2 linked regions of the Tamandua tetradactyla genome follow. The protein of the gene in region 1 binds, or shares a complex with, the protein of each later gene. Links are inferred from orthologs where the notes say so. Each region holds a gene or a part of one and is shown on either strand. Other genes may lie near its edges.

What was found.
Region 2: VPS39 (region 1) and VPS41 share a complex: the UniProt entries of both Homo sapiens proteins name them as parts of the homotypic fusion and vacuole protein sorting (HOPS) complex. The link is inferred for Tamandua tetradactyla from reciprocal best matches to the Homo sapiens genes VPS39 and VPS41.

Annotation. Positions count from the first base shown.
Region 1 is NC_135340.1:55,956,000-55,968,133, reverse strand, and holds the start of VPS39 (vam6/Vps39-like protein), read left to right. Parts: upstream 1-6,856; 5' UTR 6,857-7,046; coding exon 7,047-7,119; intron 7,120-12,134. Other genes in the region: TMEM87A (transmembrane protein 87A), read left to right, coding at 269-330, 980-1,035, 1,524-1,554, 3,389-3,430. UniProt on the Homo sapiens protein: Regulator of TGF-beta/activin signaling, inhibiting SMAD3- and activating SMAD2-dependent transcription.
Region 2 is NC_135327.1:83,172,499-83,184,642, forward strand, and holds the start of VPS41 (vacuolar protein sorting-associated protein 41 homolog), read left to right. Parts: upstream 1-7,398; 5' UTR 7,399-7,424; coding exon 7,425-7,445; intron 7,446-12,144. UniProt on the Homo sapiens protein: Plays a role in vesicle-mediated protein trafficking to lysosomal compartments including the endocytic membrane transport and autophagic pathways. Acts as a component of the HOPS endosomal tethering complex.

The sequences.
Region 1 (12,134 bases):
GTATTTGATGAAGTTAGGGTATAGAGAAAATAAGGGTATGAAGCATAAGAGGAAGCCAGGGTAAATTCAGTAAATAAATACACATTAAAAGTAGAGTTTACTTGCTGGAGATAAGCTAAAAATTTAGCTTTGAACTTCACAGTATAAATGTAAAGATAAAGAAACATTTATCATTTAATCAGTCAATAAGCCTAAAAATAAAGTTCTAAATTCGTTTTTGCTAGTCTGTTAACATAATTTTAACCTGTCTACTTTTTTTCTTCCACAGAAGGAATGAAAATGAGAAGTACCAAACAAGAACCAAATGGAAACAGTAAAATGAACAAAGCAGTAACTATGACTTATATTCCTCCTTTGTCTTTGCTCTGTCCCCCAGCCTTTAGTGAAGCTCATTAGTTCTGTTGCATGGGCCTTAAGGATTTTTGTATACATTTATGATTATGCTTGTTTAGAAATATTTTTGATAGATGTTCCCTTAACATTTTTTAGAACAGGCACAAGTGATTCTGAGGCCTAGTTGTCTTTAATTAGATGGTTTGTTGCTATATATTGAAAAAATACCAGACCAATCTGATGGTTCTTTTTTGTCAGTCTTCATTAATGAAGTCATAGTTTCATTAACAAGGCCCAAGGATTTTTTTCAGTCAGCATTTGTTTTAGAACTATGCATCCACTCTACAGTAAGGGCTTTCAAATTTATCTCGGTTTTAAAGAACAAAGCCTGCCTGAAGCAAACTCCCAGGGTTAGGCCATTGAGAAAAGAACATTTAATTATGCAGAGCATCATTTTATATTTCTATTATATGGTTTTTAAAATTAAATTATTTGACTTTTCTGTTAGCAGTCCCAGTTGTTACGTGAATGTACTACACAGAATAGCAAAAGATTAAATTTAAAAATGTTAAGATCTCTTTAAATCCTTACTTGAGAGTTATTATTTAGTGCAGTTTACTAACAACTGGTACCTGTATGTTCCCAGCAGGAAGATGATTTGAAGTGGGTAGAAGAGAATGTTCCTTCTTCTGTGACAGATGTGTAAGTTTTTGAATCATTACCACAAGAATCTTGTTTTATAGTTAGTACTCGTTTTATTGTTATACATACATTGGCTGAGAAACATAGGAATGAGAATGCTTATAATTAAAAGAAATAAATAATTAAAAGATTAGTAATGATATATAGACCAAAGTATATGGAATTATTTGTTCAGAGGATAATTCTTCTTAGAAAGATTTAGCTATTGAGATCAGTGGGAATACAATTTTTGAATTCCTTCCCAGGACTATAATTTTCATGAAATATTGGCCCTATTAGAATGTAGGATATATATGTGGGGTTTTTTGTTTGTTTGTTTTCTTATATTTGTGTTATTTTTATTTCTCTCCTGAAGGGGCCATTAATAAGATATAAATCTTAGGTAATTACAAAAAAGTATCACGTGGCATTCATTATTCTGCTGTCCTTTATGAACCATTTATGACTCTATTTTACATTGTCCAGTTTGGTGTTTTTTCTCTCTGCAGAGCACTTCCAGCCCTTCTGGATTCAGATGAGGTTAGTAATTAAATTATGTCACTGTTCTCTTCAGGTTTTTAGAATTATAGTTGATACCACTGATGTTGTTAACTTTTAATATACCTCCACACGATTCATCTAGACAGCTTCAAATGAAGTCTTATGTAGAATTGTAGTCTGGGTTCATGGGAACTTGTTCTAGACAGAATCTGAATACTAGCTCATTTCAAAACCTTTTGATTTTAGAAAGCCAGTTGGAAGCATCTTGCCTGATTCATACTCAAGGTGTTAGGACTGGTTGCTGTTAAAATGGTTTGTGCATTTCCTACTGACCTGTTATGTGATGCAGAAAACAGTGTCACATTCCTTCACTGTTGTATGTATTGAAATAATTTTAAACCCTGTCATTCAGATTTAAACCTACCAATATAACATCTTGCTTTCTGTGGTGTGTAGTTCTCAGAGCATCTTGCATGTTATATCTGTAGTATTTCCTTTTGGGGCTTTCCTCTGCTAATCGTTTATTTTCAGTGCTTCCTTATGGCTTTAGCTCTATATTTTACCCAGAGAGGTCTGACTTCGTGAAACCAAATTATGCCATTCCTGGGAATACAGGTTTACTATAGTACTTTCAGAGGTGACTTTACGCATCTCTTCATATTTTCCTGTGTGAACAAGCTATGCAAGACTTTGCACGAATACCCAATAAATAGGAAGGTCTTTCTTTTTTAAAACTGAAAAAGAATTTAAATAAATTACAAGAGAATCAAGTTACATGAAAGAGTGAAAACATCATTACGTTCTTCAAAAATCACTTTGGAAATCAGAAAATAATAGAACAATGTCTTTGAATTCTGAGGAAAATTATTTTCAACCTAGTAACTATTTTACCATGAGGGTAAAATAAAGATGCTTTCAGATGGGAAAAAAATTAAAAAATGATATCTTACATGTGCTTTCTGAAGAAAATGGTGGAAAACGTTCTCTATAAAACTGAGGAAATCAACTAAGCAAGAAGGCTTGAAATCTAGGAAATAAAGGATCCAACATAAAACAGAGGCAGGGATAATTTTCATGGTGGTGATATAAGAAAGTTCAAGGGTGACAGTTGTGCAACAGTTTTTAAGACTGACCAGTCTAGAATAGAGCAGAAGAGAGTTTCAGAAAGGGTATTTTTAAGAAAAAAGTGAACAGGATACTTTATATGATACTTGATATGATTGATCATATTAAAAAGGGATTTACATTTCATCTGGATTTTGGGATAAATTTGTGATAAGTACTTAGTTCAAGGGAAAATGAAAAATATATATAAAAAAATAGGACAGGAAAGGAAATAGTAGTACATATAATTTTTGTTAATGGAAATGAGATACTGTAAATACTATTTTATAATCAAATTTAATTTCAATGAGTATATAATATTTCATTGTACAGATATACCATAATGTGTTTATACAGTCCTATATTTTTGGACGTTTAGTTCTTATATTTTTTTCTATATTGCTGACTGTTGTAGTGGACATACTTGTGGCTAAAGTTTAAATTCTTCAGTCAGAAGAGGTACAGTTTTATAAAAGCTCAATCTTAAATAAATATATGTCACATTATCCTGGTCTGACAGTTCCTTTTCATTTGTGGCTTGACGTCCAGAGGCCCAAAGATTTTGATTCAGTTGATCTTGTGTATGGTTTGGTCATTTGTTGTTTCAAAATCTTCAAGTATGGTTAGGAACCTTTGTAATGAATATTTAAGTAACATAAATAAGTATTTGTGGGAAATGTGTGTGTCATGGTATGTATAGAAGATACTTGAAATGTAAACAGCTGTTAATTAATATACTTAGAATTAACCTTTTTTTTTTTTTTCCTAGGAACGAATGATTACACACTTTGAAAGGTCCAAAATGGAGTAAAGACTGGGGGTATTTGCAGTTGAAGATGGCTCATTATTAGGGAAGAGATCAGCTTCTGTGTCAGGTTTCTACCACTGTTCCATGGAGTTAAAGGAGGCAATGACATCCTGATCTGTTCCTTGATCGTTTTGCATTAGAACTGGCAAGAGATGTCAGAACAAGGAGAACATCTTGTTGAAAAGAAGTTCATAGGATGAGAAAAACCTACAAGTTTCTTATTTACAATGTTGATGCCCCTTTCCCTCCCACACACTGAACGTGGATGTTTATGCAAATTTATGTGTATTGTTCCTGAATCTTCTATAATGTTTCAGTTGTTTAATCTGTCAAACTAAAAATTTAACATCTTCTAAAGGACGATGACATCAAAACCATAATGCAGTCTTCAGGAGCAATTGCCAGTGATTTTTATTTATTTAGGGACTTTAGTAGGTGATGGGGGAAATTGATAATTGCCTTTTCAGTTTCCTGTAGAGTCAGGGTTTACAACTGGCAGCGGTGGTTTTAAGAATAAAGGGCCCTTCTGAGTTAAAGAGCCCTGTTTCTATCAATGATTAAAAGAAAAAAGAGGGAGAGAGAAACTGTTACAGTGTGATTCAGATTGTCTAAACAACAAAATCAAGTGCAATTTTGTTTACAAATGGTGTATATTGAAGATTTTTCTATTTCAGATGTAATTTAGAGAGAAATATTAGCTTAACTCTTTTGACATCTGCTATTGTGACACATCCCATTGCTGGCAATGTGGTGCAGGTACACACTCCAGGACTTTTAACTACTGTTTTGTAAGCCTCCAGGGTGGCACTCTGGCGGCACAGGCAATGCCATTCATTGTAGGTCCAGAGAGGTGCTCCCATCTAAGTGCTTGTGAGTGAACACCCTGCTAGAGGGACTGTATTGCTTTACAAGTGGGAACTAACTACAAAGGTAACAGGTCCTTCTGGCTTCATTTAAGCAATTATCCCTGCATGAGGAGGCCCTGGACTGCTGCTCATTCTTTAGGATTGATAGTCCTTATATCTGGTGTTGGTTTCGAAACTGTTTATAAGAGGCATCACAAGGTGATGGGATTCATTTGAAACATTATATTTCTGTTTTAATGGTTTTATCCAGTTTTGCCTTCCCAAGATTTTTGTTCTACATAAAAAGTTCATGCCACTTTTTAATATAAAGAATTTTAACAAAATGAATATATTTTTCTCATTTTTTTCACAGTATTCTCTGAAGATCCTTCTTTCTCCCAGTTTCCTTCTTGAGGAAATTTTCCTTCCGTGACTTTTATTCTAGGTAGTCCTAATTTCAATAGAATCCAATGACCAACCACATTAACTAATGCCCTAACACATACTATAGTGAAAGTGTTAATATTTATGTAGTATTTCTCTATAACTCTCTACTAAAGTGATTTAAAAAAAAATCACCTAGGTTATACCTTTAAGGAACAGACAGTCTGAAGAGCTGATTATATTTTCATGCTAACTTATTAGAAAAAGGCTGGTGTTACTGTCATGTATTCTTCTGCTCTTGCAGATTCAAACTTAGCAGGTGAATAATAGTTATAATGCAGCTGAGAGTTGGTTCAAATATTTTTTGAGGCTGGTAGATGTTTACTTGAGGCAAAAATCTATTCTGTCAAATAGGATTGAACAGTACAAATTCTATAGCTTTTTCTCAGGGCTTACTATGTTACTGGGATTGGATATGGCATATCACTTCTTAGGACAGGTTCAAAAGAATTTACAGTCCCCCAATGACCTGTTACCTTTGAGGTTATATTGTTTACATAGGTCTTGGCCTTTGGGCCTGGAACTAAAAGGTGTTAGGCTTTCTTCCAGCATCGTAGCTAGTAATTCTAAATTTTCAAGAAGGCAGTTACCTATGATGAAAATCAGCCATAACATAAGATTTGTTTAGCATTCTCTACATTTCTCACAACTTGAAAATATTTTGATTCTCACAAACAGCATTTGGTAATGATGGGATAGGTATTCCTTATGTACAGATGAAAAACTGACATTGTATACAAATAAAGTGCACCAGTACCAGTTTTCTGACTTTATATCATAGACTACAACCTTTTTTTCTTTTACATTTTTGCTTCAAACCAAAATGCTTAATTTTGTAATGTACCTGATCTTTTCTTCAGGGGAAATTGCCAGTTACAGATTATTCTTGCAGCTCAAACTTAGTTTTTTTTTGGTGGGGTACATGGTCTAGTAATTGAACCCGGGTGTCCCGCATGGAAGGCAAGTTCAAACTTAGTTTTATTGTTGTTCTTGTACTTAAGTCTCCAGAGGGAATACCTCATACTGCACAGGACCAATAGGAGGAAAGAGCTATGTCTCTTACCTCCCTAAAAGGAATATCAAGATGTAAAACAAAGCTTGAGAGAGTCAAATTGGTGAGAATGAGAAGAGCAATTTTAAAAGCCATTTATTTTGCTGACTCCGAAGGGTTACTGAATCAATTCTTGTTACTCAAAATGTGGTCCAAAGACCTATAGCATCAAAAACACTTGGGAGCTTGTAAGAAATTACCAGTGAGGGCTTACCCTGGGCTTACTGAATCAGAATCTACATTTTAACAAGATCTCCAGGCCTATGCACATTAAGAAGTATTGGCTTAAAACAGTGGCTCTCAGCTGGAGTGATTCCGCCCCCCCCCCCCCTCCCGGAATATCTGACAGTGTCTGAAAATGTTTTATTGTAACTGGGGCGAGGATGTTGTTGGCATCTAGTAGGTAAAGGCTGAAGTTGCTGCTAATGGTCCTACAATGCATAGAACAGTCCCTCACAACCTAATTATGCCTTAAATGTCACTTGTGCTGCATTTGAGAAACCCTGGCCTAGAACAGTAGTTCCCAAGATTGAGAGGGTGTGCACTTACCTTAGGGGTTTATTAAAACACGGATTGCTGGATTCCCAAAGATTATGTTATAATAGGGCTAGAATGAGTCCTGAGACTGAATTTCTGGCAAGTTTCCAGGTGATGCTGGTCCAGAGACCGCACTTTGAGAACCACTGGCTTAGGACAACGTTCAAAATACAGTGGTAAGGTAAATTATTTGGGAATGGTTAATACACCATTTATTGAATGCTTAGAGTCTCAAGAGTTGCCAAGCGCTTACAACAAATCGAAGGTGCGTAACATTACCTTCATTTTGCAGATAAGGAAAAAAGACTTGAGAGATCAATTTCCTAAAAGACATCTAATTTCCGAAATGGCACATCTCCATCCCAGGGGTGGCTGACGCCAAAGCCCAAGCTACAATGCCTAAGACAGTTACGACATTAAGATTACTGTCCCTTCTTGTTAAGCCTATGGCTAATAAGACCTACGAGGAAAAAGCTCTGAGCTAGCAGGAAAAAGAAACCCGGCCCGGGCACTTTTTTGAGGGTAGATTGGAGCCAGGGCGGAAGAGGAGGGATTTCAAGGCGGAAAGGGCGGGCTTAATCCAGCAGGAAGTCCGGAGTTGATGCTGGCTCTGTTGCTGAAGGGCCTTTAGTTGGGGTACCTGGCCGGATTCTGGTCTAAGCTCTCCGGGCGAGGTGCCCGCCCCTGGCCTGGCCCGACCCCCTCGGGGTGAGGCGGCTGCGGCGCCGACTCTCCCGTCGCCATGCATGACGCCTTCGAGCCAGTTCCTATCCTAGAAAAGCTGCCTCTGCAGATCGACTGTCTGGCTGCCTGGGGTGAGCCGAAGGGCCGCGGCGCAGAGTGGGGTCACGCGGGAGTGGCCCTTACCTTCCGTGTCGCTGGGGAAGTGGTCAGGCGTCTGGCCCTGTGGGCTCCGCTCGGACGCTCTCCAAGGGGGGCCCGGGATGAGGAAGGGCGGAGATGTGATAGCCCTGTGGGCTGTAGACAGCGAGGGCGGTGGGACCGCTTGGGAGATCCCCAGGGACTCAGACATTTTAGAGAAGTTCCACCTGCCCTTTCAGAGTGGAGGTTGAGCTTTCCCTGTAAATGGTGCTCAGTTTTGGCCCAGTTCGATTTCCAAGAAGTTTTCAGTTTGGAGGAATAATGCGGTGGGAAGTTCTCAGCCTGTCAAGGGCCTGAACTTATCCATTTATTTCTAGGTGAAAGACGACACTTTTTGTTGTTTTGGTCACCATTCAAATTCCTATATCATATACTTCCACCGCCTCCCTCCCTTAATGATAGGTCATCGTTCACTTCACATTCCTTTGGATAACTAACATTGTTATTGTTGAAGTCTTACTCTAAGCAAGTATTGTTTGCTTTATATCCAGAATGCCCAAGTTCCCTAACTCTGTAGGTAGAACATCATTTTGTACTGCCATGAGACCCTGCCAATAAAAACTTGCATAATTTTTTTTGGATTAGCCGTGCAGAAAGCAGAATCAGGTATCTCTTGTGTGCTTGATTCTTAATTATGAACACTGTGCTCTTACTGTGTTCTTATTTATGAATGGTTGTGTCTGTTAACACCCATCAGAGACCAAGCAGAAATCATTTTAATCTTTCTTGTCAGTGTCCAAAATCCTAGAAGTGAAGGACCTTAAATGGGAAACTCAGAATCCTTCATGGGATTTTATACTGAGTTAGGAACCCACAATAGTCCTGGTGGAATCTAGATGGTGACTGGCATCCCTCAGCATCATCTCTTGACAGTGCCACCTAGTCATTTCTTGCAGAGCTCTTGATTCTCTTCAGTAAGCTTTTCCCCCCACAAATCTTCATGTTAATATTGCCTCTCCCATCTTTAGCAGCCTTGGGCCTCTTTAAAATCAGGTCTTTACAGTAAGCTGTCCTAGTCTTTTGGATTAAGAAGAGAATCCTGCTTTCTCCAGGCATTTCAAGAAAACCTCTGTTTCATGTCATTAAATGTTCTCAGTAAAAAATAGAAATAGAGAAGAAAAAGAGAAATAAAATAAAATGAAAAACCTGGCATTGCAGAAAGGGATTTAGTCTTCCATTCCCTCATCATATATGTATTTGGTGCCTGTGTGAGCCCATTTCTGCTAGGACAGCAATACAAGGATGAATAGGAAACAATAACTGTGCTCCTGGAATAAACAGTGGGGGGCACAGACACATGAACAGATTATAATAGATGATAGACAATACTAGAGATATGTGTAGCCTGTTATGGTAGCATGGAGGAGGGGCACCCAACTCAGTTTAGGACATATGCTTCTGAAAAGGAATGGTAGAGTTACTTAGTACATTTGACTTGACTTATCAAAATCCTGATGTGTATATAGGAAATTCTCTCCTAAAATTGCTGCTCTACTCAGTACCTTCACACTGATATTCTATGGGACCATCATTGCAGATATCTCATAGCCTCCCTTATCAACTCTACTACATCACAGTAAAGATTTCAGGAACACAGTTTTGAAATGGCCTGTAGCTTTTGTCCTTCAATGATCTCCCAAGAAACAGGAGAAATGCCCTTTGCCTCCTAGGGTGCTATGGTAGGTGTTGGGCTACAAAAGGCCATTTACTGTCTCCTACCTCTGAACTGCTTTATTTTTAGACTTTAGCAGTAATAAACATTGCTATTTCTAATCATCACCCCTGTTACCTATTCTGTGCCCTTAGATGAAAAGTTCATCCAGGAACCAGAATATGGAGGGCCAGACAATATTTGAGCTCAAAGACTTCTTAGAGATGCATAAGCCATCTCCTGGGAAATGGAAATAAGGACACTGAATCCAGACTTGTTTATAACCACCTGCCTTTTCAGCATCTTCATTTGGATGTCTAATAACATGTCTAAAATGAAATTCTTTACTCTTCTTCCCCCAAACCTGCTTCTTCTCCAGTATTCCACATTTCAGCAAATGGCATTTCTGTTTACCTAATTGGCTCAGACCAAAAAAACCACACTTCCTTCCATATCCACTATTACTGTTCTTGACAAAAGCACCATCATCTCTTCCTTGAGTTACTGATCTCCTGTGTTGAGTAGTCTTCCAACTGATCACCCTGTATTTACCTTTGGGCTATTTTCAGTTTTTTATCCACCCAGGGATAGAGTCATCCTTTGAACCTTACATCTGATCACATCTTTCCTCTGCTCGAAACGGTCAAGGGACTTCATACTACAACTAGAATACATTCCTAAGTCCTTATTACAGCTGACAACGCCTGGCATGATCTGGCCTCCCTGAATTTACTCTTACTCCTTGTTCCTAGTTCAAGACACACAGTTTTCCTTGCTGTTTCATGAATACACAAAGTACAGAGCTACCTCAGAGCCTTTGCACTTGCTCTTTCCTCTGCCTGGCACTCTCTTCCTCTTGTGGTTCATCCCTCACTTCATGCAGGTGTCTGCTGAAATGTTACCTAAATCAGTGGGACCTTCCCTAACTGTCCTATATAAAAGAGAATGACACATCTGCCAATGCTCAATTCCCTTCCTCGGCCTTTTCCTCTTATTCATGGATCACCACCTAATTTTATTTCATATATTTAATTATTATCTCCCTCACTCCACGTGTTCTAGTTTGCTAGCTGCCAGAATACAACACACCAGAGATGGATTGGCTTTTAATAAAAGGGGATTTATTTTGTTAATTCTTCAGAGGAAAGGCAGCTAACTTTCATCTGAGGTTCTTTCTTACGTGGGACGGCTCGGGGTAATCTCTGCTGGCCTTCTCTCCAGGCCCCTGGGTTCCAACAACTTTCTACAGGGTGATTCCTTTCTGCATCTCCAAAGGCCTGGGCTGAGCTGCAAGTGCTGAGATGAGGTATGCTGAGCTGCTTGGGCTGTGCTACCTTGCGCTCTCTCATTTAAGCACCAGCCAATTAAATCAAACGTCATTCATTGCAGCAGGCACGCCTCCTAGCTGACTGCAGATGTAATTAGCAACAAATGAGGTTCACGAACCATTGACTCATGTCTGCAGCAACAGAACTAGGTGCCTTCACCTGGCCAAGTTGACAACTGAATCTAACTGCCACTTCACGTTAGAATAAATTTCCTTAAAAGCAGGAACTTTGTTTTATACATTATTGTATCCTCAGGGCCTGGAACAGTTCCTCACTCATAATGAATAGTCATTAAATATTTGTTTAATTAATGAATGAAAATGATATTAGTATTAATAGCTTCCATTTATTGAGTACTGATCTGTATTGTTAGCTCTTTTTCTAAGGGCATTTATGTAATAAAAGTAACTCCATTTTACAGAGGAAAAGCCTGAGGCTTAGAGAATTTAATTTTTCCAAGATCACATAGCCAGTAAATCATGTCTTAGTTCTAGAGTTTGTTTCCCAATTCTTTATGTACATCAGAGCCTGTAAAAAACGCAGGGTTTTTTTTTTTTCTGCGTGTCTGTATATATGCATATTGTGTGCATGTGATATTAATACTTAAGTTTTCAAAAGAAACAGTGGAGGGATGAGCCAAATAGATAAACCAATGGAAGAATAAACCAAAAATTACTAAAAGGCTACCTGTAGCAGAAAAGCGGGAACAGGGTGGAATGGACAAGGATAGAACCTAGATTTCTCATAGTTTTAGTTTTAGAACTACATAAATGTTTCATATAACTGAAAAACATAAAAATTAAGCTTAAAAATGCCGATTTCAGGGTACCACTCTGGAGTCATGGAATCACAATCTCTGGGAACAGTGCACAGGAACATGCAGTTTTTTTAAGCTTTTTTTTATTGTATAATATAACAGAGTATATACAAAGCAAAAAAACAGTAGTTTTCAAAGCACTCTTCAACAAGTAGTTACAGGATAGATCCTAGAGTTTTTCATGGGCTATCATACCATCATCTCAGATTTTTCCTTCTAACTGCTCCAGAACATTGGAGGAAAGAAGGAATAAATACTTTTTTTAATCATCACCATAGACTTTTTTTTCTTTTTTGTGAAAAATAATGTATATACAAAAAAGCAATAAATTTCCAAGCACATCGCAACAATTAGTCATGGAACAGATTTCTGAGTTTGGTATGGGCTATAATTCCACAATTTTAAGTTTTTACTTCTAGCTGCTCTGAGATACTGGAGACTAAAAGACATACCAGTGTAATGATACAACAGTCATACTTGTTTGTTAAACCCTACCTTCTCTATATAACTCTACCATCACCTTTGATCTTTCTCCAGCTCTTTAGGGGTATTTGGGCTATGCCCATTCTAAGTTTTTCATGTTGGAAGGGGCTGATAATATTATGGGGTCGGGAGATAGAACTAGTTTATGTTCAGAAGAGACTGGCCTCTGTAGGTTTCAGGATTTTTCTTGTCCAGGGACCCATCTGGAGGTTTTAGGTTTCTGGAAAGTTACCCTAATGCATGGAGCCTTTGTAGAATCTTATATAATCCCCTAAGTGAGGAACATGCATTTTTCACAAGACCCAGTAATTCTGATGCAGCTGATAATGGGCTCATGCTTTGACAATCACTGTTTTTTTTGCCATATGACCAAAGAAGAGAGGGCCTTATTCATCTCTGCATTCCCTGCAGTGGCTAATGTTGAGCCAGGAATGGAATTATTACACGAGGTTCAACCATGTTGCATTGTTAGTTGAAGCTTCAATAGGTTAATTATGAATAGGAAGGTCCAGCCTTACTTCCCAGGAGGGATCAAATCCAACCTTCTGTTCCAGATTAGGCTGCCAGGAATTTTCTAGGCCTGACCCTGTGTGTGTTACACATTTGTGTGGATTGTTCCACAGTCTCATATGTAGTATTGGCTCTAAGAAGGCACTATTTATCCCATGC
Region 2 (12,144 bases), on another chromosome or scaffold:
TAAGGGAAGTGGGCCTCCCTTGTCAGGGTTTGCCATTCTTCTCCTTAAAACAGTAGTCAAATGTCCCTACACTTCATTTCTGGATTAGGTACTTGTAACTAAAATTGTGTTTTCACGTTACAATGATATACATAGTGGCTAAGCTCCCTGGTTGACACATTCCAGCCTGGCTAGTACAATAAGTGACCATGATACCACAGAAACACAATAAAGTATAAATAAAACTCTCCAGTGACTAAGTTTGGTTTCTTCCAAGAACTGGTACAGCAATAGTAATGTGTCCTCCTATTTTTTTGTAACATGTAAAGTCAACTGCATTGCAGATTAAATAGGCTTCTGTGGGCTGGCCAGAAAAGATTTATATTATTGTTTATATGAAAGAGTGAATATTAAGTTTCAATCAATTGACATACCCATTATTTAGATTTTTGGAAAACAATATGGGGATCGCCCTTGCTTTCATTTAGTGCAGCAAATCCTTCCCCCTTCTCTTCTCTCTTCTTCCTCTTCTTTTTCAATTTTTAGTGTCTTTATATTTGAAGGGCTTGAGATATACAGAAGGGAAAGACTCTTGCTTCCACAAACATACCTTGAAATTGGACTCTTGCTGAAAAATGGACCTTGTTTCACAAATATTATTGTGATCCAATGACAAGATGTGCTTAAGTATTTTCTTTCAAAATTTTGATTGAAAATGAAAGACTCTCTATAAAATAATACATTTTCTGGACACAACTAAACACCTGGATTCTGAACAGGCTGGATTCCTGCTTTAAGTTAAAATATTAGCTTTGTGCTTTTCTGTCAAAAATATGAAGGAAGTTCAGTAAATGGATTGTATATAAACGGTCTACGTCTGGGGAAAACCCAAACAGATGGTCTTTGAAATATTTGTTGCTTACACTTATAACAGGAATCCAAAGGATGAATAAAATATTTTCTAAATTTTTCAAAATTACCACATTAGAGTTTCCAAAAGGTTGTTCCAAGAATTTCGAAATTCCTGATACTTCCAAGGAATTTTTAAGACACCTTCAAAGTTCTCTGACCAAGTTACTTCACATCTATACTTTTTCTAAGGAAATATTCATAAATTGGACAAGGGCACAAAGATGTGATATTTACTACATCATAGTTTATAGTTGTGAAAAATCGAAAGAACCCTAAATATTCAAAAATAGGGGATTGACTATACAAATTATGGTACTTAATTCGATGAAAGACTATACAAGTATGTAGCTCTGTATTTATTTATGAGGAATTGTATTTATGATAAGGGAAAAAATGACAAATTATTTTTAAAACTCATAAGTAGTTCCCTCTAAGGGAAAACATGAAGGGAAAAAAGTCACCAAAATAGCTGCAGGATAAAACCCTCCTGGGGCCTCTTTTCTCTCTATTACTGAGAAGTGTTGGGGCAGGTCACTTAGCTATTGCCTTTCTTCTCCCCACCTCCTCTAGAAATTCAAAGCTGTGAAGAACTAACAAACAAACTGATGATCACTTATGGAAAATGATCACGGAAATGGGAAATGGATAGGATTTTCCACCCTCACTTGGTCAAGGTACGACTGTAAACTCTCTATAAGCGTACAGAAAATAACTTTTTTTTTCTTTAAGCTGTAGTATACATAAATACAATACATAGAATACAATACAAAATACAATAAAGTAAATAGTCTTACTTTATTTCTAAGGGAGTCTTCTGATAATTCCTGCATAGAAGTTTCCTCCAAGAATTACGTTAGGGACAAGTCTGCAAACCCCCAAGTTCCATCTTTCTTTGGCATGGAAAGAAGGAAGGTTAGAGAGCGGTCACAGCCTATATATAGGTGAGGATCATGATAAAAGGAACCTAGCAAGGATGCAATATTTATACGCATATTCAAGTGTAGGAAACACAATAGCAGCACAACAAAAATAAAAAATGTATTATAACATAAATAAACTATAAATTTACATTTATTCTTTTAAATCCATATTTAATTCAATTGATAGTTTATTAAATTATAATTAATTATAATTTTAATATGTCAAATTACATATAAACTCTAATTTATAACATAAATGAAAATACACATTTTCTCATTTATTTTTCACAACCGGGAGGAAGACATTACTGACTAAATTGACAGCTTAGAAAAGTTAACTTGCCCAAGAGAGTACTGTGAAGGCCACAGATAGGATTTCAACCCTGATCTGCTTGATTCTCAAGCTCTTAAAACATTACACTGAACAAGAAAGAGCCTGTGACAAATTTGCATCCTGGTGCATTTGTCCCTCTGTCCAAAGATCCCAGTCTAAAAATACTTCCTAAAATAAAAGTTTTCTCTTTCCATACCATGCACATGCATTCTCTCCTTTTCTCCTTTCTCTTGTTTGCAGGTTTGCAAGTAGGAAAACGTGCAGTAAGTAATGCCTTTGTATTCAAGTCATTTCTAATCTCGACAATCCTCAATGGTTCTCTTCCACTGTATCAGTTAAGATTGAGTCTGACTGTGTAACAGACAACCCCAAATAACACAAAGGTTTATTCTTTTGCTTGAGGTAAATTTGGAGGCAGGTATTCAGAGCAGGCATGGTGGCTCCGAAAAGTCATTGGGATCCCAGGCTCCTTCTATCTTTCTGCTTCATCCTTACTGCTTGGTTACCATCCTCAAGACCACCTCTGTGAGCTTAGATGGTTGTCGGAGGATCTAGTAGCAGGAAGAACAAAAGGAATATCCCCAGCTCTCTGTCCCTTCTTTCAGAGCTTTCTTGGAAGGCACAGGTAACACTTTAAATTATCTATCATTGACCAGAACAATCACACAGCCTAATTGCCATAGAAGCCAGGAAATGCAGTTCTTTTATTTAAGCAAATTGCTGCCCCCAAATTGACAGGCACTATTTTATTAAAGAAGAAGTGAATGGATATTAGGTAGGCAATTAGCATTCCCTGCCATAACTGCTTGTCAAATTAAGACAAATTTATGTTTGATATCAACAGACCCTAGCCTCTTCTTACCTAATTATTCTTATATCTGACTTTTCAGGTGCTTTTCCACATCTTTGCCTCTTCTCATTTTGTTTCCTCAACATGAAATATTTCGCTTTCCTCTCCTTTCTACCAACAGTTTCTTACTCACCCTTTAAGGGCCACTTGATATATACACTTCCTCCATGAAGTGTTCTGATATGTTTTATGAGATTTGCTCACTTTTTCTTTTGATTCCTTCCACTGGTGCTGACTTAAACTTCTTCACATAACATCGTCACTCTAAATCTTCAATGTCTCCTTATTTTCTGATAAAAAACTCTGAAAGTTACTCAGGTGGCAGGGTACCAAGAAATAGTAGTTCTTTTTGGGAAAAAATCATGAAATAGAAATGTTAAGTTAATTAATTGATTCCATCAACAAATGTTTATTGAGCTCCTATTATGTGCCAGGAACTATGCTAGGTTCTGGGCAGATGTTTGTTTGTTTGTTTATTTTAAAAGCTGCCAAAGAGAGCATAATAGCTTTTTTTTTTTAATGAAGATTTCACTTACTATTTTAAAAATACACTATTGTCTCCCAGTGTCTGTTTCTGGTTAAGAAATAGCAAAATTTAAAGACTTCAAGAAAACATATAGGTGAAAAGCCCTAAATGGAATTAATAATAGAAATTAACTTACTACTTTTTTTTCCTGTGAATTGGGAAAATGCTATCAGCATTTTATTTTAGCAATGAAATTTCTTGGTCCATATCATGGCACAGTAGTTGTGTGGGAGCCTAACTTCAGAACCACCACAGCGAGTCTAAACTCCAACCCATTGAATGTTCCCATGAATTTATATATTCCCAGAGATCCTCTTATGCATCTGCCTGCACTTTTCTCCCCTCATGTGTCTGCCTGCACTTCAAATACTAACTGTACACTGAAGATCTCAGAATATATAACTCCAGCAGCTGACTCTTCTCAGCTTCAGAACCAAATGATGTTTGGTTCTGTTTGATGAAGTTTTCAAAAAATGATGATATCTAATATTTGACAGAAAGAGGATACAGAACTTTCATAACAATTCACAGGAGTATAAATTGGTGTCACCTTTGAATGGCACATCTGCCAAAATTTATAGATATAATTAGCTATGCCCTAAATATATGACAAAATCAATGATATAAATTATGATATTTTTACTGAACTCAATTATAATGCATACCATTAAAGCCATGTTTTAGAACAATATATTATAATGCTATTGGAAAATGATCCTGAAATACGATTGAGTGAAGAAAGCAGATAACAAAGCTTCATGATACAATTTTTTAAGGAAAAACTTTCAATAAACAGAGAGCGACACTAGAAAGAAGTATAACCAACGATGATTATCAGGGGGAATTATTGGTGGCTTTTATCATTCTATTTCCTTAATTTTTTGTATTTTTCCAATCTTCTATAATGAGGATGCATAATTTTGTAATTTGAAAAATGTTTTTAAAAAAATCTAGTGTGGTTGCTATGGGAACCTTCCAGTAAATTAGATCTTAAAATGACATCTAGGATATTAGAAGGTAACAGGTTTAGTAGGTACAGTTTTTGAAAAACTAAAATGTCTATCCCAGAAAGATCTTTTGATTGAAAAGTTTGCAATCTAAGGAGCAATGGAAAGTAGAGATTGAGAAAAGAATTTCTCAATAAAGCGGCATGTAGTTAGAAGGGATATTGGGGTGATTTTTTTTTTTACTCCATCATTCCACTTTGCTAATTTTCCAAGTACCATAAAATTAGCAATATACTAAATTATATATATAAGTCATCCATACTATTTAAGGCTATTTTTTATGAATAAAATAGCTACAATTTAGTGAATGAGTAAAATGTTTCAGATCTATATAACCTTATGAGGCAGGTCCTTTAAACCAGTGAACCATTCTACACATTAAAGGTATTAGGTTTGGTTTCTGAAATCTATTCATAGTTTTGGCTCCTATGGACTGAGAATGAGAAGTTGGCTCTTACTTTTGCTTTGAAGATCGAGAAAGGTGAGCTGATGATGGGTGTGCTGGTTTGAATCTGTGGTGGACTCCAGAAAAGCCGTGTCCTTTAATCCTCATTCAATATTGCTAGGTGGGAGCTTTTTGATTATCCATGGAGATGTGACCCACCCCATTGTGGGTGGTAACTTTTGATTAGATGGTTTCCATGGAGATGTGTCTCCACCCATTCAAGGTGGGGTTGCTTGCTGAAGCTCTTTAAGAGGAAACAGTTTTGAAAAAACTTTAGAGCCCACGCAGCCAAAATCGTTTGGAGATGGAGAAGGAAAATGCCCCTGGGGGAGCTTCATGAAACAAGAAGCTGGGAGAGAAAGCTAGCAGACTTCATCACATGCTGTTCCAGCTAAGAGAGAAACCCTGAACTTCATTGGCCTTCTTGAACCAAGGTATCTTTCCCTGGATGCCTTAACTTGGACATTTTCATAGCCTTAGAACTGTAAACTAGCAACTTATTAAATTCCTCCTTTTAAAAGCCATTCCATTTTTGGTATATTGCATTCCGGCAGCTTGCAAATAAAACAATGGCCAAGAAAGAAGCAGATTATTTGCCATCTAATTAAAGACTGTTAGGCTGGATATTTCTCAGACATCAATGTGCATATATATCACACCGGTATAGTATTAAAATCCAGACTCTGGTTCAGCAGCTCCGTGGAAGGGCCCAATGTTGTACATTTCTAACAGACTCTCAGGTTATGATGCTAATGTTGCTGGTCTGTGGGCCACACTTTAAGCAGCAAGGTGCTGGAGGACCTCCTAGATAAGGGAGCCCAAACTTTCATTTCACATGGGAGGACATGAAGTGTGAAGGTAATGTGGGAATTACCTCCCACCCACTGGCCAGGAAGAACCTGCTAATCTGGAAAGAGATTCTTCCACTAATTCATCTTTCCATATACCCATGTCTCATCACTATTCCAGTCTGTCCAAAAGAAAAGAGTAATGGATTCAATGTTCAACTTATTTTTTTGGGTCAAGACGCTAATGGGGGACAGACTTGAGGGATCTGACTCTCAGAGGCTGAGTCATCTGGGAGCATCATCATTTCTCTCTGTGGTAAACATTGCCACAGTTTCAATCAGGCCATAAGATATTCTTTGGGATGAGAAAGAGGTTTGAAGTTTTTCATTCCGGAAGAATGGAAGGAAGGCCCAAAGTGGACAGCGAGCTTCCATCATTGCTGCATGGATGGTTACTGTGTGTTCCCTTCCAGGAGGTCCCCCAGAGCAGAACCTGAGTGGTAGGTCATGGATTTAGTTCCTGAGGAATTTTGGAGAAGACCCAACCAGCATATAAAGGGAGCTCCAGCCCCCAAGAAAAGAAAAGATGGCAAATTCAGCCCTGAAATCATGGAGCAGCAGCCCTAGGGTGGGGTTGATGGTGACTCTCAGCATCTTCCTCCAATAAGGCATTTCAACTGACTCCCACCCCTAATCCTACTATCACCACAGTTGGTCATTTCCAACGCCCTCTGCTAGTTACCAACTACTGGAGATGAGTAGGAGAACAAAATGCCTCTTTTTGGACCTCAGATTCTGCAGATTCCTGAGGATTAGGAAGGAGAACTCATAAAGTTCAGAAACATGGAGAAGGGATCGGGCATTCAAAAGGATGGAAGTGATGTAGTGACTATACAGATTTTTTTCCATTGCTGTATATTTAACCCAGGACAAATTTATATCTTGCACATTTGCCTATACAGTATGCTCAAGGAAGGTTTAATAAATAATTAATATGCACACACAATTTTTTTTTTTAATTTCAATGTCCAGATGCCAGAAGGCACCAACTTAGAAATAGGAAATAAAAATTTGTTGGATATAAAGTTGTCTCTGGTTTTCCACTACACAGACTGCTTTTTGTGCATTTAATTTACTTGAAGAAAAAAAAAAGCCAAGAACTCTCTTACACTAAGCAACATTTGGTAATTACACAGTCTTAGGGCCAAATTCTAATCCTAGCTCTGCCACTCACTAGCTGCATAAACTCTGAGTCAGTGTTCTCACCTATTCTGAGTCAGTGTTCTCACCTCTACATGGGGATAATAGTAGAGATGCTGGGAGGGTTAAATGAGATAATCCACGCAGAGCTATAAACTCCGGGACTAATACAGTAACTGCTTAATAAATATTATAAATCACAGAAACAGCAAGAACACCAATAAAACAAGTAATAGCTTTAACGATGGATATGTTCAGTGTCCCTAACACAAAACTCGAATGGGTTTGGAGGGCCGGAAGTAGAATAACTCTCAACAGTCGGTTCTTCAGTTAGAAAAGACAGGTTAAGTCTTCTCCTTCGGGAAATCCAGAAAATGTAAAACTACATTTCCCAGTAGGCTCAGGGGTCCACTAGCCGTGGTTTCTCACTTCCGGGTCTGTCATGTGACTCCCCGGCTGCACCATGGCGGAAGCAGAGGAGCAGGTAAAGGCTGCTAATGCTAGTTCATGGCGCAAGGGAGGAAGAGAGGATTGTGAGGTGGGCGGGGGGCTTGGAGGAACGTGAGGGGGTGCGGAGATGCTGGAGAGTGGCGAAAGTTCATTTCGGGGGTCGGAGCATTTTGGGGGAGAGTCCCTGGGGAAAGCACATCGACACATCCGCAGTGTTCCGGAGGCGGCCTTTCCGTGGCTGGGTTCACTGTGGCCTGTGCCCAGTGAAATTTTGGCATGAAGGGAGGCGGGGGCTCACCAGGACTTGACTACTTTGGGGGTGGGCTGCATGAGAGATGACTTGAGTTTTCAGGCTAGGTGACTGAAATTCAAGTTACTTTCCACTCTGAGCAGGGCAGTGAGGGCTGATAGGCGGGAGAACTAGGGGAGAGTACATGATGACTTTTGTATCTCTTGGATTTAGGTACAAAGCTGAGTAATTGTTGGTGCAGCAGTGTTAAAGGGCATCGGTTCTGGAGCAAAAAAAGTGTCTAGGCTCCAGTGCTGGTTCCCTTTCTTACTGAACATTTGACTTTAGGTTAGTTATTTAACTTTCAGCTATAAAATAGAGATTATAGTCCATCCTTAAAAGGTGGTTTTAAGATTCAATGAATGCATACAAGTAAAGTGCTTAGAATTGTTGGGCTTAATCAAAATTAGGAGAGATTATTTATTGCTGGCAGGATGCCATACAGCAATGTCCAGTTAACCTGAATTTGGGGGTTTAGGTGTTAGTGATAGGAATATGAATTATTTTCATATAGGCAATAGTGATAGCCACAGATCAGATGATGTGACCAAGCAAAATCAAGAAGAAAAGAAAAGCAGACCAAGAACCTGGGGAAGTACCTTCATTTTGCATTTCCAGACTCGTTTCAGTTTGGCACTGTTTTTCTTCACAAATTAACAGGTCCCTCAGTTGCTGTAATTACCTTTAAAAAAATGGTTGATGGTGAGTTGTTTAAATCACAGTAAGAGAAGGGTAGTACAATAATTTAACTTGTACTGTTTGCAACATACTTCATTTAAATAATGAAAATTTCTCCTGAATACATTTTATATATGCCAATAATTAAAACCTTTGACTTGATAGAAATTTCATTTGGTTGGCCATCTTGATAACGGAAGAGTCACCTACCTCTTACCCATAGTGGAACTTCTCATTTTCTTTTAAGGTACTTTAAAAGAAAATGCTCCTTAAGCACATATAATTTCATGACTCACTGATGTTAGTGGTGAGATTGGTTTCCACACTGTCCTCATTTTATGTTGAAATATAATTTTTTTGTGGTTTAATTTAAAAACAAACAAGCAAAAAGCCAAAACAACTTCTGTACATTCTTAGTTACAGTGTAATAGAAATGGAGTTACTCTTAGTATTTACTACTGTTTTGTTCTGAAGAAGAGTTTGGCACAGCTGGTGAAAAAGACACATAGAAAGTTACATATATGATTAAGATGCATCACATTTGTATAGCACTTTCCAATATAGAATCCTTTCACATTGTGTTTGGTCCTCACAAAGGGATCCTGTGAGATTAATACTCATCTGATATAAATCAGGTCAAGCACCGCCTGTGTTCCAGATTTTCCAATAGCATCCCATTTCTGAGGAAAAGTCCACAGCCCTTCTAAAATCCAGTTGTCCTACAGGACCTTGTCCCAACTCTCCTCAGCTTCCTTTCTTTGAACTCATTTCCCACTGTTCTCTCCTTTCTCTCTCACTCTGCATCAATGCCACTGGCTTACTTCCTCTTCCTTCAGCATGCAGAGCATGTTCCTACCTTAGGGCCATTGCTTATGCCAAATAATTACAGGACCCTCTCCCTCTTTCCCTTCTTGTCTTTATCCAAGTGTTACCTTTTTGAGTGAGCCCTGAGCATTATTTGAAAACTCTGTCACGCATTATGTTTCTCTGTAGCACCTATCACTATCTGACATTCTTTAAATAAAACAAATTTAATTAAATTTTAAAATATGTATTTGTTTATTTATAGCAAATAAAATTTAAACAAATAAATTGCCTTCCTATTAGAATGTAAGCTGTATGATGGCAAGGATTTGTTGACAGCATATGCCTAGTACCTAGAGTAGTGCCTGGCACTTTGTAAATGATGTATTGAATGATTGACTTTGACAGATAAGCAAACTAAAATTCAGAGAACTTAATCTTAGACTCACATCCATAATAATCTCCAGTTTTCTATCTGTAAAACTCATGAGTTTTTGTAGTATAACACCCTGCTTTTTTAAGAACACTTAAGAACCTAAATCAAAATCATTTTTTGAAATAAGTCCTTGTCACCTTAATAATTTCTCTTCATGTATTATTCCACCTCTGATCCTTTAATAGCCAGTATGTATTTTGGGTGGGCATTTGCCTCCCTAGCAATGTCAGTGTTATTTTCAAAAAGATCCGGAGTCTTGTCAACACCAGAAAAAAGCAAACATTCAAAAAATTACTGTTCTGTTCATTTTTTTAAAAAGAAAGCAAGTTAATAAATGCACCTATAAATAAAAATGGTTAGGTTTTGCTCAATCTCTTTGATTTGATTTCTTGCATTTCACTGTAAGAAAAATTAAAGGCTCACCAAAATAGGAAGCATTAATTATACAATTTTTTAAAGTCTAACAGAGCTTAAATGAATTTGCAAATTGTTCTGTTCTCCTTTCTTAAGCCTTTTAAAAATAATGACATAATTTTTTTTCCTGAATGTTTTAGGAATTGAGATGCATATTAAATTAGCCACCATGACAACTTATAAGTCAGGGCAAAGGAAGGTTTTATATTTACAGCACTGTGTACTCTAAATGCAAACAACCCTTCAAAATAAGTGTAATGCTAAGCAAGACTAAATTAAACCCTCTCTGCATTAACTTTCCTGAGCATTACATTCTTTGGTGATTGCCTGCCCCCCATCCTTAATTTTAGGAAGAACTGAAATAGTGAGATCTGCATGGTTAACATAAAACAGTTCAAAAATATTTAAATAAAATCACTTTCTGGATATGACTGGCATTTTTTTTTTGGTTATTGGGAAATCATTGCTTTTGCTGAGGATAGTAAAGGTATTTTGCAAAAATAAATATGTATATATTATATAGTTCACAGACAGAACTAATGTCCTGCATTCTGCCTGGGAATTTTGCAATCAGCCTTTTACCTGTCTATAAAATAATTTATGGTTGACCTTCATAATCACAGATCCCAATAGTATTTGTTCATACCTTTCATGAATGAACATTCTGCTTGAAGTTTGGTTGTTTGTATATTTGTCTTATATCTCCTACAGATTACTGAGTCTTTAAGAATAAGTACAAGAGCTGACTCATATCTATCTTTCACAGGGCTAATAATTTATATGTATTAGGTGCTTAATAAAATGTTTAAATTAATTTCAGGAGAATTTGTATTAAATTATTTTATCTTTCTTGAACTTTTTGAAAAGTTATTTATTCAAATGTAATATATATTAACAGTTGTTATTTTCCTTACTCCTACCATTTCCCTAGTTACTCTTCCATCTTTTCTACTCAACCAGTATGGAGTCAGGTTCATTAAAATATTTGAGCAGTCAAAATGCCTATCCATTCACCAAATACGAATTAGCAGATGGCACATTCATGAACACGTATATTCCTGTGTAATTGTGCAATAACAGTCACATTTTGAGTGCCTCAGTTTCCTTGTCTATAAATTGATAATTTTAATTTCCAGGACTCTTGGAAATATGGGATGAAATAAAGTAAGTCAGAGTGCCTAGGTTGAAGTGGTTGTTTTATACTCAGGACAACACTTTGTCATCCAGACTTGGGCTCGCCTTAGGTGTGCACAATACTCTTTTCTTTCAAGTTGGCCAAGACAAATTCTTTAAAAGCAGCTCTACTGATAACTAAAGGAAAAACAAAGCCCTAAACTGGAAGCTGCAAAGTCACAAGATGATACAAATTTTTAGAGAGTTCACTTTTCATTACCATGTAATGAAAATGTACTCACATGTTAAGATTAGCTGGGAGCTGTTTATTGCCTCACAGTCTCATTTTTCCTCTCATCCTCACCTGGATAATTTGGCTTGAAGACAGTGTTACTAGCTGATTAGTAGTCTCCCTGGCACCACATGTTACCACCTTGGAGATGGGGTGACACTCTGGTCCTATTTTATGTGTTTGTTGTCAAATACTTGTGATTCCAGGTCCTTATTTCAGGCTTGCTGAATCAGAATCTCTGAAAGTAGTGCTAAGGATTATATACTTTTAGCCAGTTTCCAAACTGAGTTTAGAAAATTCTGATGGAAAGTCAGATTTGAGAATTCCACTTCACTGGGACACTGTGTTTGTTCTCATTTCCACACTGGGGCAGACCCCAAGTTTTTTCTTCTTCTGCAGAATAAGGGTGAGTTAAGTAGCTGAGCCCAGTGGATGAGCTGGGTTGGTAACCTGAGTCTTTTCCTACTCTTACCAGCTCCCCAGGTACTCCTTCATCTTTCCTACTCTGCCAGCAGGGAGCATCGTAGGTCCAAAACTGGCTACAGCTCCCCTGAAGTAGGCTCTGAGAGGGCAAGGATATCAAATACATAGCATACAAAATATCTCTTCCCTTCTGTGCCCTTGTTAGACATTGGGATCTATCACAACTCTCATTTCCATTAAGCCCAGCAGTGGCACACAGTTTTATTGGGAAGGAGCAGAACCTG